Linked DNA regions of Cricetulus griseus. The protein of the gene in region 2 purifies or fractionates together with the protein of the main gene of each other region. This does not show direct contact. Links are inferred from orthologs where the notes say so. Each region holds a gene or a part of one and is shown on either strand. Other genes may lie near its edges.

Region 1 (3,624 bases), on a different chromosome or scaffold from region 2:
CTCCTGCCAGCTACCTACATGCAGCAGAACAATATTATTTATCTCCTGTCAGCAAGCCTAGTTTAAGACGCCTGGCCTGTGTTGGAACATCTAGAAACTTTGCTGACATGGGGTTGAAGAAAAACTCAGGGAAAAGGCAAAATAAAAACAGTAAATTACAATTGAAGCTGTTTGTCATGTGGGCAGCTGTGTTGACATCTCATCCATGGGTAGATTAGTGGGGCGGTTTCCTGTGTAATGACTACAAACATCCATTTGAATCAGTTTATTGTGACAGGAGAATCTGGCTTTGTATGAAAACCAGGGTAACCTTCATTGACTTCTTTCCTAAGATAGCAATTAACATTGAAGTCGTGGAGCACTCTGCAATGAAGGTTGTAAGTTTTTGTAGATTAGACATGCTGAAGTAAGCCAGTCCTCACTCTCCTTGATAAGAGAAGGTACTAAAGCACATGAGCTCTGTCGAACTGCAGAGTGGGGAAGAGAGAAGCCAGAAAGTTTTGGAAAACAGTCCATCAGTGCACATTGAAAGCTCAGAGATACATGAAGACCAATCAAGATGTGGCCCTGAGAACACCTGGCTGCTCTATTGGCCCTTGGCTGGCATGCCATCAGTTCTGATATAATGGGAATCGGGAAATGGAAAGACAGAGCTCTCCTCTGCCACAGATGAGCTATTAAGTATTGATCAATACAGAGGAAAATCCCACATTATTAATATCTGTCATGGAGATAGTAATGTGAAAACAGGTTTTCTTCCTTCCTTCCTTCCTTCCTTCCTTCCTTCCTTCTTTCTTCCTCCTTCCTTCCTTCCTTCCTTCCTTCCTTCCTTCCTTCCTTCCTTCCTTCCTAAAGGGGTCCTACAAGTCACAGCTTTTGAGTTTTTATTATTACTATTTTTAAGATTTTTTTTATGTGCATTTGGGTTTTGCCTGTATGTATGTCTGTGTGAGGATGCCAGATCCCCTGGAACTGGAGCTACAGACACTTATGAACTGCCATATGGGTGCTGGGAATTGAGCCCAGGTCTTTTAGAAGAGCAACCAGTGCTCTTAACCGCTGTGCCATCTCTCCACCCCTGAAAACAGGCTTCCTTAATGGAGGTGTAGGTGGTGTGTGCCTGAAGTGCTAGTCTTGGGAGTGGGAAGTTGGAGGACCACTAGGTTGAGGTTAGTCTGGACAATATAGTTTTCCAAGCTAGCCTGGATGACATGGTAAGACCATAGCACAAGAAGTGACTAAAAATTTTTAGAGATTTTTAAAGTTTTATGTGGCTGTGTATACACAGTTTTGCAGGTGTCTTGGGAGGCCAGTATAAGGTGTCAGGTCCCTTGGAGCTGGACTTACAGGCAATTGTGAGCTGCCTTAACATGGGTGCTGGAAACAGGTCCTTTGGAGGAGCAGCAGGCATTCTTAATTACTAAACCATTACTCTAGTCCCTTTAAAAATTTTAATTGCATTAAAGTAACTAGTTTGTTTATTTGGGGGGCATGGGTGAGAGGGTGGGCACATGCATGCCTCAGGGCATGTGGAGGTCAGAGGACAACTTGCAGGAGTTAGTTCTTTCTTTTCACCATGTGGGCCCCAGGATCAAACTCAGGTCAGGCTTGGTGTCAAGTGCCTTCAGCTGCTGAGCCGTTTCACTGGCTCAAGAAAATAGACTTTATCCTCCCACTAACCAGGAAGGACTTCTCTAACGAAAATGACCCTCATCCTTTTCTTGGTTTCTGCTCCTTAAAGAAGATGCCTTTGAAAATGGTGACCTATTGGTGTGTTTCTCACATACCCCTTGTTGTTCCTGTCTCTGGAATCTTCTGCTTTGGTATCTGAGTTTGTCCTGTTTCTGACTGAAGGGCTAGAATCTCCTGTCCTAGTCTGGCTCACAGGCTCTTTGTTCTGTGTGTGTTCTATGCTGTTCCTGCATCTCTAACACCTTCCACTGAACTTTCAGGATCACCAGCCTTTTGCCAACGCCCATGATGTGCTGGCCCGCTCCCGCAGCAGAGCCAACGTTCTAAACAAGGTGGAGTATGCACAGCAGCGCTGGAAGCTTCAGGTTCAGGAACAGCGGAAGTCTGTCTTCGACCGACATGTTGTCCTCAGCTAACTGGGAATCAGAATCAAGGTGACTAGAAAAAACACGACAGACAACTGGAAAGAATTGACTGGGTGTCAGTGGGTTTTAATGCCTGTTGTTTTTACAAACCCTTACTGGATGGAGGCAGGCTCAAAGTTGGAAGCAGACCCACATGCTTAGTATTTTTTCTTGTTAATGTATTAATAGAGACATTTTTAAAGCACACAGTTCCAAGTCAGCCAGTAAACCTTTTCCTACTTGTGACTTTTACTAATAAAATTAAGCTGCCTGTGAGTTATCGTCAAGTCCTGTGCCTGGAACAAGCTCTCTTTCTCACCACACAGCAACTTGGTTATCAAGATAATTTCCAGGTGTGCTTTTGCCTCTGTTTTTCTGTGGCGGGAGAAGGAAGGGAAGCCTTGGGAGTGCTTGACATAGTTTCTCTCAAGTCTCTTTACTAGACAGACTTGTAAATACACCAGACCTTCTATTTCACTGTTAGTATTTCCAGTGTGGCCAGCTCATCAGTGTGCTAGCCTCCACACATGACTTTTGCACTGACTACATCACTAAGATTCTGGTTGGCTTGTGGCTGTGTTTCTTGGTAAGCTGGATTTAAAATGCCTGGTGGCTCTCCACAAAATGCAGACTTGTTTCGTGCGATGTGATGTCTGATGCAACACATCCAAGAACAAACTGGCCGTTTGCTAGTTTACTCTAATAACTAAACACAGTGTGTGTGGTCTTCCTCATCTTCTTCTAGTATCTCTAAGGACTTGAACATTTAGAATAAAGACATTTTCTCTTAAGCCCAAGCCTCCCTGGATGAATGGCATACACATACTGGTCAGCATTTCCTGTCGTGCTGAGAGGCAGCTATTTGAACTAATGTGGGCAGCTTTGAACTAGGACTGGAGTTCGGATTGCCTCTCTCTCAGAAGTCTAACAGTTATTGGATAACTGGCTTTTTTCTTCCTACATCCTCTTTGGAATGTAACAATAAAATAATTTTCAAAACCCCTATAAGTGTGTCTGCTCTCTAGCCTTCTGTCTTTCCTCTTGTGCTGTGTGATAAGCATGATGACACAGAGACCTTTGGTACCAAGTTGTTTGAAAACATGTTATGCAACCTAATCCTAAAACACTGACCCTGTTGTATGGTGTACGGGGGCAAAGAGAATGATGATGCATTCCTGGGTATACAAGTAGTCAGTTGAGAGGCTTTACATTCATAAACCAGGCATGGTACTGAAAGCCCATAATCCTAGCACTTGGGAGATTGACACAAGTGGGTTGATTGGAATTCAGTCATCCTGGACTGTGATGAGACACATACATGCACACACACACACACACATACATGCACACGCGCACACACACACACACGTGTGTGTGTGTGTGTGCGCGTGTGTATGAAAAACAAGATTTATATAATTCATAAAGGAGTGCTGATTCTGTGAAGTTCTTGGCAAAATCATATTACAGATATATTAAATTCATATTAACATATTATTACATTAAATTCTTTTTTTTTTTTTTTTTTGGT
Region 2 (3,648 bases):
CACCTTCACATGTTAGTAGAAGATGTTCCTCTGTCCAGTCATTCAGAGCCCAGGCTATACCATCTAGAATATGGTTTCTCAACAAGGAGTGATTCTGCCTCCGGTGATATTTGGAGACACTTTTTCCTTATCATAACTGTAAGTGCTACTTATATGTAGTAGGTAGAAGGCACAGACACTGCTCAGCTTTCAAGCATAGCACCTTTTGATAACAGAATAGCCTAGCCTCAAATATCTCATGTACTGAGGTTAAGAGAACCTGGTTTAACTTTATTGGAGTAGGATTTGGTTGCAATTGCCTTTGAATACCTAGGGATTCAAAGCTGGATTCCTGTCCAACCTAATATTCTTAATATTCCCTCCAATGCTTTGGCTTCTGAGTTGCTTGCACCATCAGAAGCCTGGATAGTCTGGTAGGATTCACTTATCAAAGGGCCAGACATATGACCTGGGAGTATAGACACGCATGCCCTTATTGGAGTGGAGCTCCCTGTCAGGTAATACAGGTCCCTGATGCAAAACTGGGTTTAACAGAGCCTGAGCCCAGGCATCATGTGGGACTGACTCCATGGACCAAGTATTAGGAGGACAGAAAGTTCTCATTAGAGAGCCTGCTTGGGATGAAATTCTGGTCTGTGAGCTTGTCTGTACACATTCATGGGGTCTGTGACTGAGCTTTCAAATTTCACTGTCCTTTTCTGTTATAGGTGGAGTGACTAGGATGACAGTGTCACTGGTGGTCATTATGTTTGAACTGACTGGCGGTCTGGAGTATATTGTGCCCCTGATGGCAGCTGCTGTCACCAGCAAGTGGGTGGCTGATGCCTTTGGGAAAGAAGGAATTTATGAAGCCCACATTCATTTGAATGGGTACCCATTTCTCGACGTGAAGGATGAGTTCACCCACCGTACTCTGGCCACTGATGTGATGCGACCCCGAAGGGGAGAACCACCATTGTCAGTACTCACCCAGGATAGCATGACTGTGGAGGATGTAGAGACACTCATCAAGGAGACAGACTACAATGGCTTTCCTGTGGTGGTCTCCAGAGACTCGGAGCGCCTCATCGGCTTTGCCCAGAGGCGAGAGCTGATCTTGGCTATAAGTGAGTACAGACAGGGAGGCTCTTATCTTTCCCTCAGAGGCCCTAGAATTAGCACATGGGTCCCAGGGAGTTCAGTAAGTCAGGGGCTCCCTTGACAAGCCCCCAATATGTCACTCAAGTCTAAGTGGTTAGTCCTAAACCTGTGGTCAAATGGGTAACACTAATTTGAGTCAATAGGTTGTATGTGTATACTTATGTATATGCATATATGTAATATCTATAGAAGAAACCATGAAATTTAGAGGAGGATATGGCAGGGAAACATAGGAGGAGTTGGAAAGGAAAAAGGAGGGGTGGAAATGATATAAATACAGTGCACTCATTATGATTATGTATTTCTTTTTTTAAAGAAAAATTTATTTATTATGTATACAGTATTCTGTATTTTGCCTGCATGCCAGAACAGGGCACCAGATCTCATTACAGATGGTTTTGAGCCACCATGTGGTTGCTGGGAATTGAATTCAGGACCTCTGGAAGAGCAGTTAGTGCTCTTAACCTCTGAGCCATCTCTCCAGCCCCAATGATTATGTATTTCTATATATCAAATTCATTATGATTTAATGAAAAATCATTTTAGAAAGCCAGAGTCTTCCAAGCTCTGATTTAAGCATATTTGTTACATAGGATCACAAATTTTGACCTGGGAGATGGTGGCACACACCTTTAATCCTAGCACTTAGGAGGCAGAGGCAGTCAGATCTCTGAGTTTGAGGCCAGCCTGGTCTACGTAGCTAGTTCCAGGATAGCCAGGGCTACACAGAGAAACCCTGTCTCAAAAACCAAAATGGAAAAAAAGGATACAAATGCTGATTGAACTAGCTTGGCCCACTGGGGCTGAGACTCTATATTCCTTCTGAGATTCTCAGGCATGCCAATGTTTTTGCCTCCAACTCAGATTGTGAAGAGCCAAGGTTTAAATGTTTAAACTCAAGCCCTGGGGTAGATATTCTTGTTTGGAATGTGGTTGCTGTGGGTACAGGCAACCACTGGGGGGGTCTCTTTCTGATAGGAAGTATACTGCTGCTTTTGTAGTTTTAAAGGAATTGTTGACTAAAGCTAAAAAGAAAGGAATGCTCTGAGAACAAAGTTGAACAGCATAGCTTATGTCAAAAATGGACTATTAGGTGGCATAGTCAGCCCACTGAAGTGGGGAGAGTTCTCTCTGGTACCTCACTCAGCACTGCACGAGTCTTTACTTCAGTCTCTGCCATTTTTTCCAATTCAACCAATTAGGGGACCACGTGGGTTAGCAAGCAGCATCATTCAAAATTAGTTCGATGTGATTATGTTTACCTAGTGTTTGAATTGAGGTCAGTCACCCTGAGGATCAGACTGTTTTATTTGGGTAACAGTGAAAGGAATGATATACAGGTGGGATGTTCCAAAGACAGGCTGTTCAAGGAAGCTACCCTATGGATTCATTGTGCCAGGGATGGCTGCAAGGGAAGGAAAGCAAGAGCAGTCCTGGGAAGAGTTGTAGAGAGCGTTCTATGCAAGGAGAAATAATGTGCCTCCCAGGACCGAAGTCCTGTGGACCTCAGGATGCAAGCAGTTGCAAAGGCCAGTGTAGGCCATCTTCCCATGCATGATAAACACCATGACCTGCCCATCAGCAGTCTTGCTCCGTGAATTACCCCTATATCATATGGGAGACAAGCCTCTAGCACTTTCGTGACCAGGGGCCAGTGTTATGTTCCGCCATGTCTTCCAGAATGTTCCTGCAGTGTAACAAAGAGATCTTCTTCCTTCTACCTGACTGCTCATTACCTCACCATGTACACATATTCACCAGACTACTGTTTCATCCTTTGGCCCTTTGTTCCTATTTTACAGGCACTTCCTTTTCTATTTTTGAACCCCCTTCCTCATACTCAATAGCTTAAAATATAATTAAGATATCTTCCTCTAAAGCTTTCCAAATGTTAGTGTAGATAAGCACTGCCTTGTAATTTTAATGGTTAACTCTCACAGAAAACAAAGTTTGAGTTTACATTTTAGGTACAATGGCAAATTCCTGTTTGAGTGCTCAGAGATGTTTTTCTTTATATAGGTCCTGTCTTGGAACAGGGAGGTGCCTTGAGGGGTAAACACTGCCTAACAAATAATAAGATCATTAAAAAGTTATTTAATACGGGTCATATTTGTTTTAAAATAACATAATCAGCAGCCTTTAAAATGCATTCAATCGCCCCAAAATCTTTTACACAAAGATTGAGTTTAGAAACTGAAGTAATAAATGTCACATAATCCATTACCTATTGTGCTGCTCCAGGCACACCTGCTAAGAGACATCTTACTAATTTTGCTTAAAGCCATTACTGTAATCAAGTGGGAAGTGATAATTGGCATCAACTGCTTGGAGAAGAAATTTAAGCTCTGCAAGCCTGCACCCTCTCAGAAGCTATGTTTGGAATACCCGAAGAGGCACCATGCAGTGTAAATCATATTTCTGTGCTTTCAGTTAGGCCCATCATAGTGCAGAAGCTGCTATTGCTACGGCTTGCTGAAAGAGGAGGGGTGCTTTGCTCCAGGGAATCAG
Region 3 (4,300 bases), on a different chromosome or scaffold from region 2:
ATTGGTTTAATAAGGAGCTGAATGGCCAGTAACTAGGCAGGAAAAGGTTAGGCAGAACTTCTGGGGACAGAGAGGATTCTGGGAAGAAGAAAAGTGGAGTCTCCAGCCAGACATGGAGGAAACAGCATGGACGGTACAGAGAGATGAAGTAAAGAGCCACACCACAGAACACAGATGAAAATAAATGGGTTAATTTAAATTATAAGAGCTAGGGGGACAAGCCTAAGCTAAGACCAAGATTTCATAATTAATAGTAAGTCTCTGTATTGTTATGTTTTTGTGAGCTGGTGGCCCAAAGTCTGCTACAAGGTAACACAGTCACAGGTTCTGGCAGTAGCACAGGGACCTTTGATAGCCATGCTGGTATTCTTATCACACTCTGACAGCTCAGAGAGCTCCTTGCTACCTTACCATCAAAGCTTCACCGCCATCCTGGGCTCTCCTGGCTCGTGGTCTAACTTTCCCACTAGCTATTGCATTCTTTTTTTCCCAACAACAAAGCTCTTACTATCCTAAATTGTAACAGCTGGTTAAACATTGTTTTCTTTGTGGTGTTTAAGTTCTACAAGAGCAGAGTCAAGGTTTGCCTCCACCCTCCCCTAAACAGCCTGCGTGTCTAGCATAGGACCCGACACAATAATATGCCAGGGGAGGAAAACTCTTCTGTGGCACATGGTTCTCCTTGCTAAATTACATTCTGGTCATGCGACTATCCCTCCATCCAGGAACCCCAATCCCTTAAAGCCTAAGAGACTCTTAGCTAAAGAAACTGGTACCCAGAGAGGGAAGGCGTGGTCTCTGGGGTAACACAGGTGATTTCTTCCCTGAAGGACTGAGGCCAAAGCTCAATTGTCCTCACTGTAGTGGCCCTGGGCTCTGATGACTGCACTTTGCTGCACTGTCTCAATTTGCCAGGTCTTTAGAGCCAGTGTAGGCTAATGAGGCACAGCCCCCTGCAGACCACACCTACTAACCCTGTTTTATTCTCCCTAGGTTGTTGTCTTAGTGTGTGTGTGTGGGGGGGGGGGGGGGTAATAGTGACTGGGTCCTTTAGTTCCCTGTAAAACATGTGGCTCTTTAAATATTTTCAGACTGTAAATAAGCACAATCAACCTTGATCTTGTTTTTAAATTGTTATTGTTGTTACTAGCTTCATTTCCAAAAGGCTTTCCCTGAAACAGGAAGATAGTATAACGCGAGGAAGAACAAAGCACTCTGGGAGGAGTTGGCAGGACCCTCCGAGATAGATCTTCGGTTCTCTGTAGGAAAGGCAGACAGTCCCTTTTCTTGCTAGGTCCTGGTAGAGAAATGTCTTCCTCTCCCTAGAGTGGGAGCCTCCAGGACCAGGCGAAGGTGGGACTTGTTGTCTTGACGACTAGCGAGGTTGGGCTGAGCGGCGGCTCTAGCAGCCAATAGAAACTGGAGGGGTGGGGCTTGCTGGTCTGTGGAGGCTGCGGCGGAGCTTGCAGGTTGGTGGACCGCGCTTTGGGGGAGGGGTGCCGGGGGTCGCAGGGACACTGGGGGTTCCCGGCCGCCCCAAATCCTTAGGCAGGGTGTGCAGTGCCCTTGGCAGTCGGAATCGGGGCTTTTCGTTGGTCCCGAGCGGCGCTACGGGGGCAGTGGAGGCAGAGAGGTGGGAGGCGAGGGTAGGAGCGGGGCCTGCTGGTGACGGGATCTGGGGGCTCCGGGAGGCTGTAACCCCAGAAGACTCCCGCTGCTCGTGCACGGGAAGCTCCTGAGAGCTGGACTTGGGGAGCGAAAGGTTTAGAAGGCCCAGGAATCCTGGAACTCAGCCCCCTTGCGTCGTCTGGCAAAGCTGTAATGGGGCCGAGCTGTGTTGTGACCACCTTCCCTTCTTCCGACTCCATGTTTCTTTTTATCCCCCTAGGCGTCTAGTCTTGCTGGCTCAGCAAGCCTGATAAGCATGAAGCTGCTGTGTTTGGTGGCTGTGGTGGGGAGCTTGCTGGTGCCCCCAGCTCAAGCCAACAAGGTGAGGGAGGTGAGCCAGCAGCACCTTGTTGCTCTAGCACCGGGCCTGCGGGGCTTTAGCAGCACCACTCTTTGCCCCTCACCCACCCGAGGACCACACTTGGAGGACCTTACCTGGGGCAAGCTGCAGGCCTTCCCTAGGGGTGTAGGGAACACAGGGTTTGGAGCACCACACCGCACAGGTTTCAGACCAGACTGGCCCTCGGCGGAATTCCCCACAAGCAAGAAAGTTTGTTTAGAGCAGTTACCCAAGTTCTCCATGTCTTCCTTTGCCCTAAGTAAAAACAGCTGTGTTCGAATCTGCTGCTCTATTTGGGGATAATCAAATCACATAACGTTGTAAAGTGCTCTCTGAGTGTAAAGGCATGCACAGATGGTGGTTTCTGCTTCCAGCTGACACAGCTTCGTGGTACACTCCTGAGATTGCTCCCATTCCTTAGGGCTGGAGGACCAGCAGCTGGGTTTGGATGCTCTCTCTTTGTAACAGAGGTCCTATGGCTTTAGATTCTGAGGGTCACCAAGATATTGAGTAGCAGGGCTTGCTTCTTTGCCCTGAAGGAATTCCTGGAGGGAGCCTGCCCATGGAAACACCCACTTTTCTTTATTCAACCCTTCCTCCATCCTAACCTAGGGAGTTAAGACAGATTTGGGGGGAATTCTGGCCCACCTACCCCACCAGACAGAAAATACACAAGTGTGGGCCTCAGGGTTGAGGCCTGTCACTTTGCTTGCTGTATGTCCTGCCTCAGGCAACTTCTGTTTCTTTTGATACCAGAGAGGTTCCTATCTTGAGGCCCCTGTGATGTGGCAGCCTTCCTATAGAGATAGTCCTCCTTGAATTGGGGATGGGAAAATTCAAAAGCATACATATGTACCTCACAGAACAGGACACAAAACTGAAGTGTGCTAGCCTGCCCAGAATCTGAACCCAGGCAGGGTCTTTCCTGCTATTTACTCTTTGTCTTTCTTCCAGAGCTCTGAGGATATCCGGTGCAAATGCATTTGTCCACCTTACAGAAACATCAGTGGGCACATTTACAACCAGAATGTGTCTCAGAAGGACTGGTAAGGCAGTGTAAATGGCTGGCCCTTGGCACAATCACCTGGCTGAAATGATCAGGGCTTTCCTAGACTTCCTATTCTAGAGATAAATTACCCATTTCTGTGGAGTGCCTGCAAAAGAATATTTTGTCCTTAACCATTTGATAACAAAACCCAGGGATCTTGAATTACAGCTTGGGGGGGGCAGTGTTGGATTTTGTTTTCGATTTCAGTTGATGTGAAGAGTGGTGGTAGATAAGTGGGAGGGGCAGGTGTACATAGTATATACCTCGGTACTTTTGCAAACCTGTGTGCTTTGCTGGTTTCATAGCAACCTTCTAATGTAAATAGAGTAGATGCTGTTCCCATTTTATAATTGCATAGACTCAGGTCCAAACAAAGATCTTACGTTGTGCTCCTTGTGTCTCTGGTCTTGAATTCATTTCTTAGCCCCTTACTTAAAAAAGCACAAATAACCAAGAATGCATTCAGGTAAAGAATGTGAAGGTGAAAGGAAGAATAAATACTGTGTTCTAGAAGGAATAGTTTAAGGAGCTAGAATCTCCCTGAAAAGGGAGAGACCTGGGGACATTCCGTGAATGTTCAAGATTGGGAGAACAGCTGCTGAGGGGAAGGGGCATTTGGGATTGGAACCACGAAGGCTTGGGATGATCACATAGTGTAGACGGAAGGCCAGTGGATGGGATGACAGCTTCAGGGAGTCAGCCTCAGTGTGAGTGAGGGAAACATTGCCAGTGCTGGAAGGATGGGAAGCTTCATCCTTGAAGACATCACGGGGTAAGGTCAAGGTGTATGCAGTGAATGGGGGTGGGGGCCAAGGTTGCTACTACCTGTGCATCAGGGAATCACTAGGTGCGCTTTAAGAAAATTTGCAGTTCCGACAGTCTCCTGCCAAGATTTTGATTCAGCAAATATGGTAGCATCTGTCAGAAGAGTAACCTTTGCTTGGAGTCCTTGAGGTGCTCATGATGCCATTGATCCAGAGCACATTTGAGAGTTTTCAGATTCGTAGCAGTTGAATTTTCTGAAAGCCAGTGTTTGTGCATGTTTAGACTCTGGATCCAACTTTTCTGGACCCAAGTCTAGCTTTTTCATTTGTTCATCGTGATTTAGATTACTTAATCCCCACTGTACTTTGGTTTACTTTCTTAATTTTTATGTATATATTTATGTATTGGTGGATGTGTTTGCCCACTTGTCAGGTCACTATGTGTATACAGTGCCTGTGGAGGCCAAAAGAAGGCATCAG

What was found.
Region 1: the proteins of Clcn4 (region 2) and Tmem9b purify together in Homo sapiens (co-immunoprecipitation; 3 studies listed by BioGRID and IntAct, with this or other methods). This does not show direct contact. The link is inferred for Cricetulus griseus from reciprocal best matches to the Homo sapiens genes CLCN4 and TMEM9B.
Region 3: the proteins of Clcn4 (region 2) and Tmem9 purify together in Homo sapiens (co-immunoprecipitation; 3 studies listed by BioGRID and IntAct, with this or other methods). This does not show direct contact. The link is inferred for Cricetulus griseus from reciprocal best matches to the Homo sapiens genes CLCN4 and TMEM9.

The regions. Positions count from the first base shown.
Region 1 is NC_048596.1:90,983,417-90,987,040, forward strand, and holds the end of Tmem9b (transmembrane protein 9B), read left to right. Parts: intron 1-1,952; coding exon 1,953-2,108; 3' UTR 2,109-3,101; downstream 3,102-3,624. UniProt on the Homo sapiens protein: Enhances production of pro-inflammatory cytokines induced by TNF, IL1B, and TLR ligands. Has a role in TNF activation of both the NF-kappaB and MAPK pathways.
Region 2 is NC_048604.1:105,027,034-105,030,681, reverse strand, and holds part of Clcn4 (H(+)/Cl(-) exchange transporter 4), read left to right. Parts: intron 1-707; coding exon 708-1,106; intron 1,107-3,648. UniProt on the Homo sapiens protein: Strongly outwardly rectifying, electrogenic H(+)/Cl(-)exchanger which mediates the exchange of chloride ions against protons.
Region 3 is NC_048598.1:53,257,775-53,262,074, reverse strand, and holds the start of Tmem9 (transmembrane protein 9), read left to right. Parts: upstream 1-1,383; 5' UTR 1,384-1,469; intron 1,470-1,495; exon of another isoform or gene 1,496-1,633; intron 1,634-1,888; 5' UTR 1,889-1,924; coding exon 1,925-1,999; intron 2,000-2,962; coding exon 2,963-3,054; intron 3,055-4,300. UniProt on the Homo sapiens protein: Transmembrane protein that binds to and facilitates the assembly of lysosomal proton-transporting V-type ATPase (v-ATPase), resulting in enhanced lysosomal acidification and trafficking.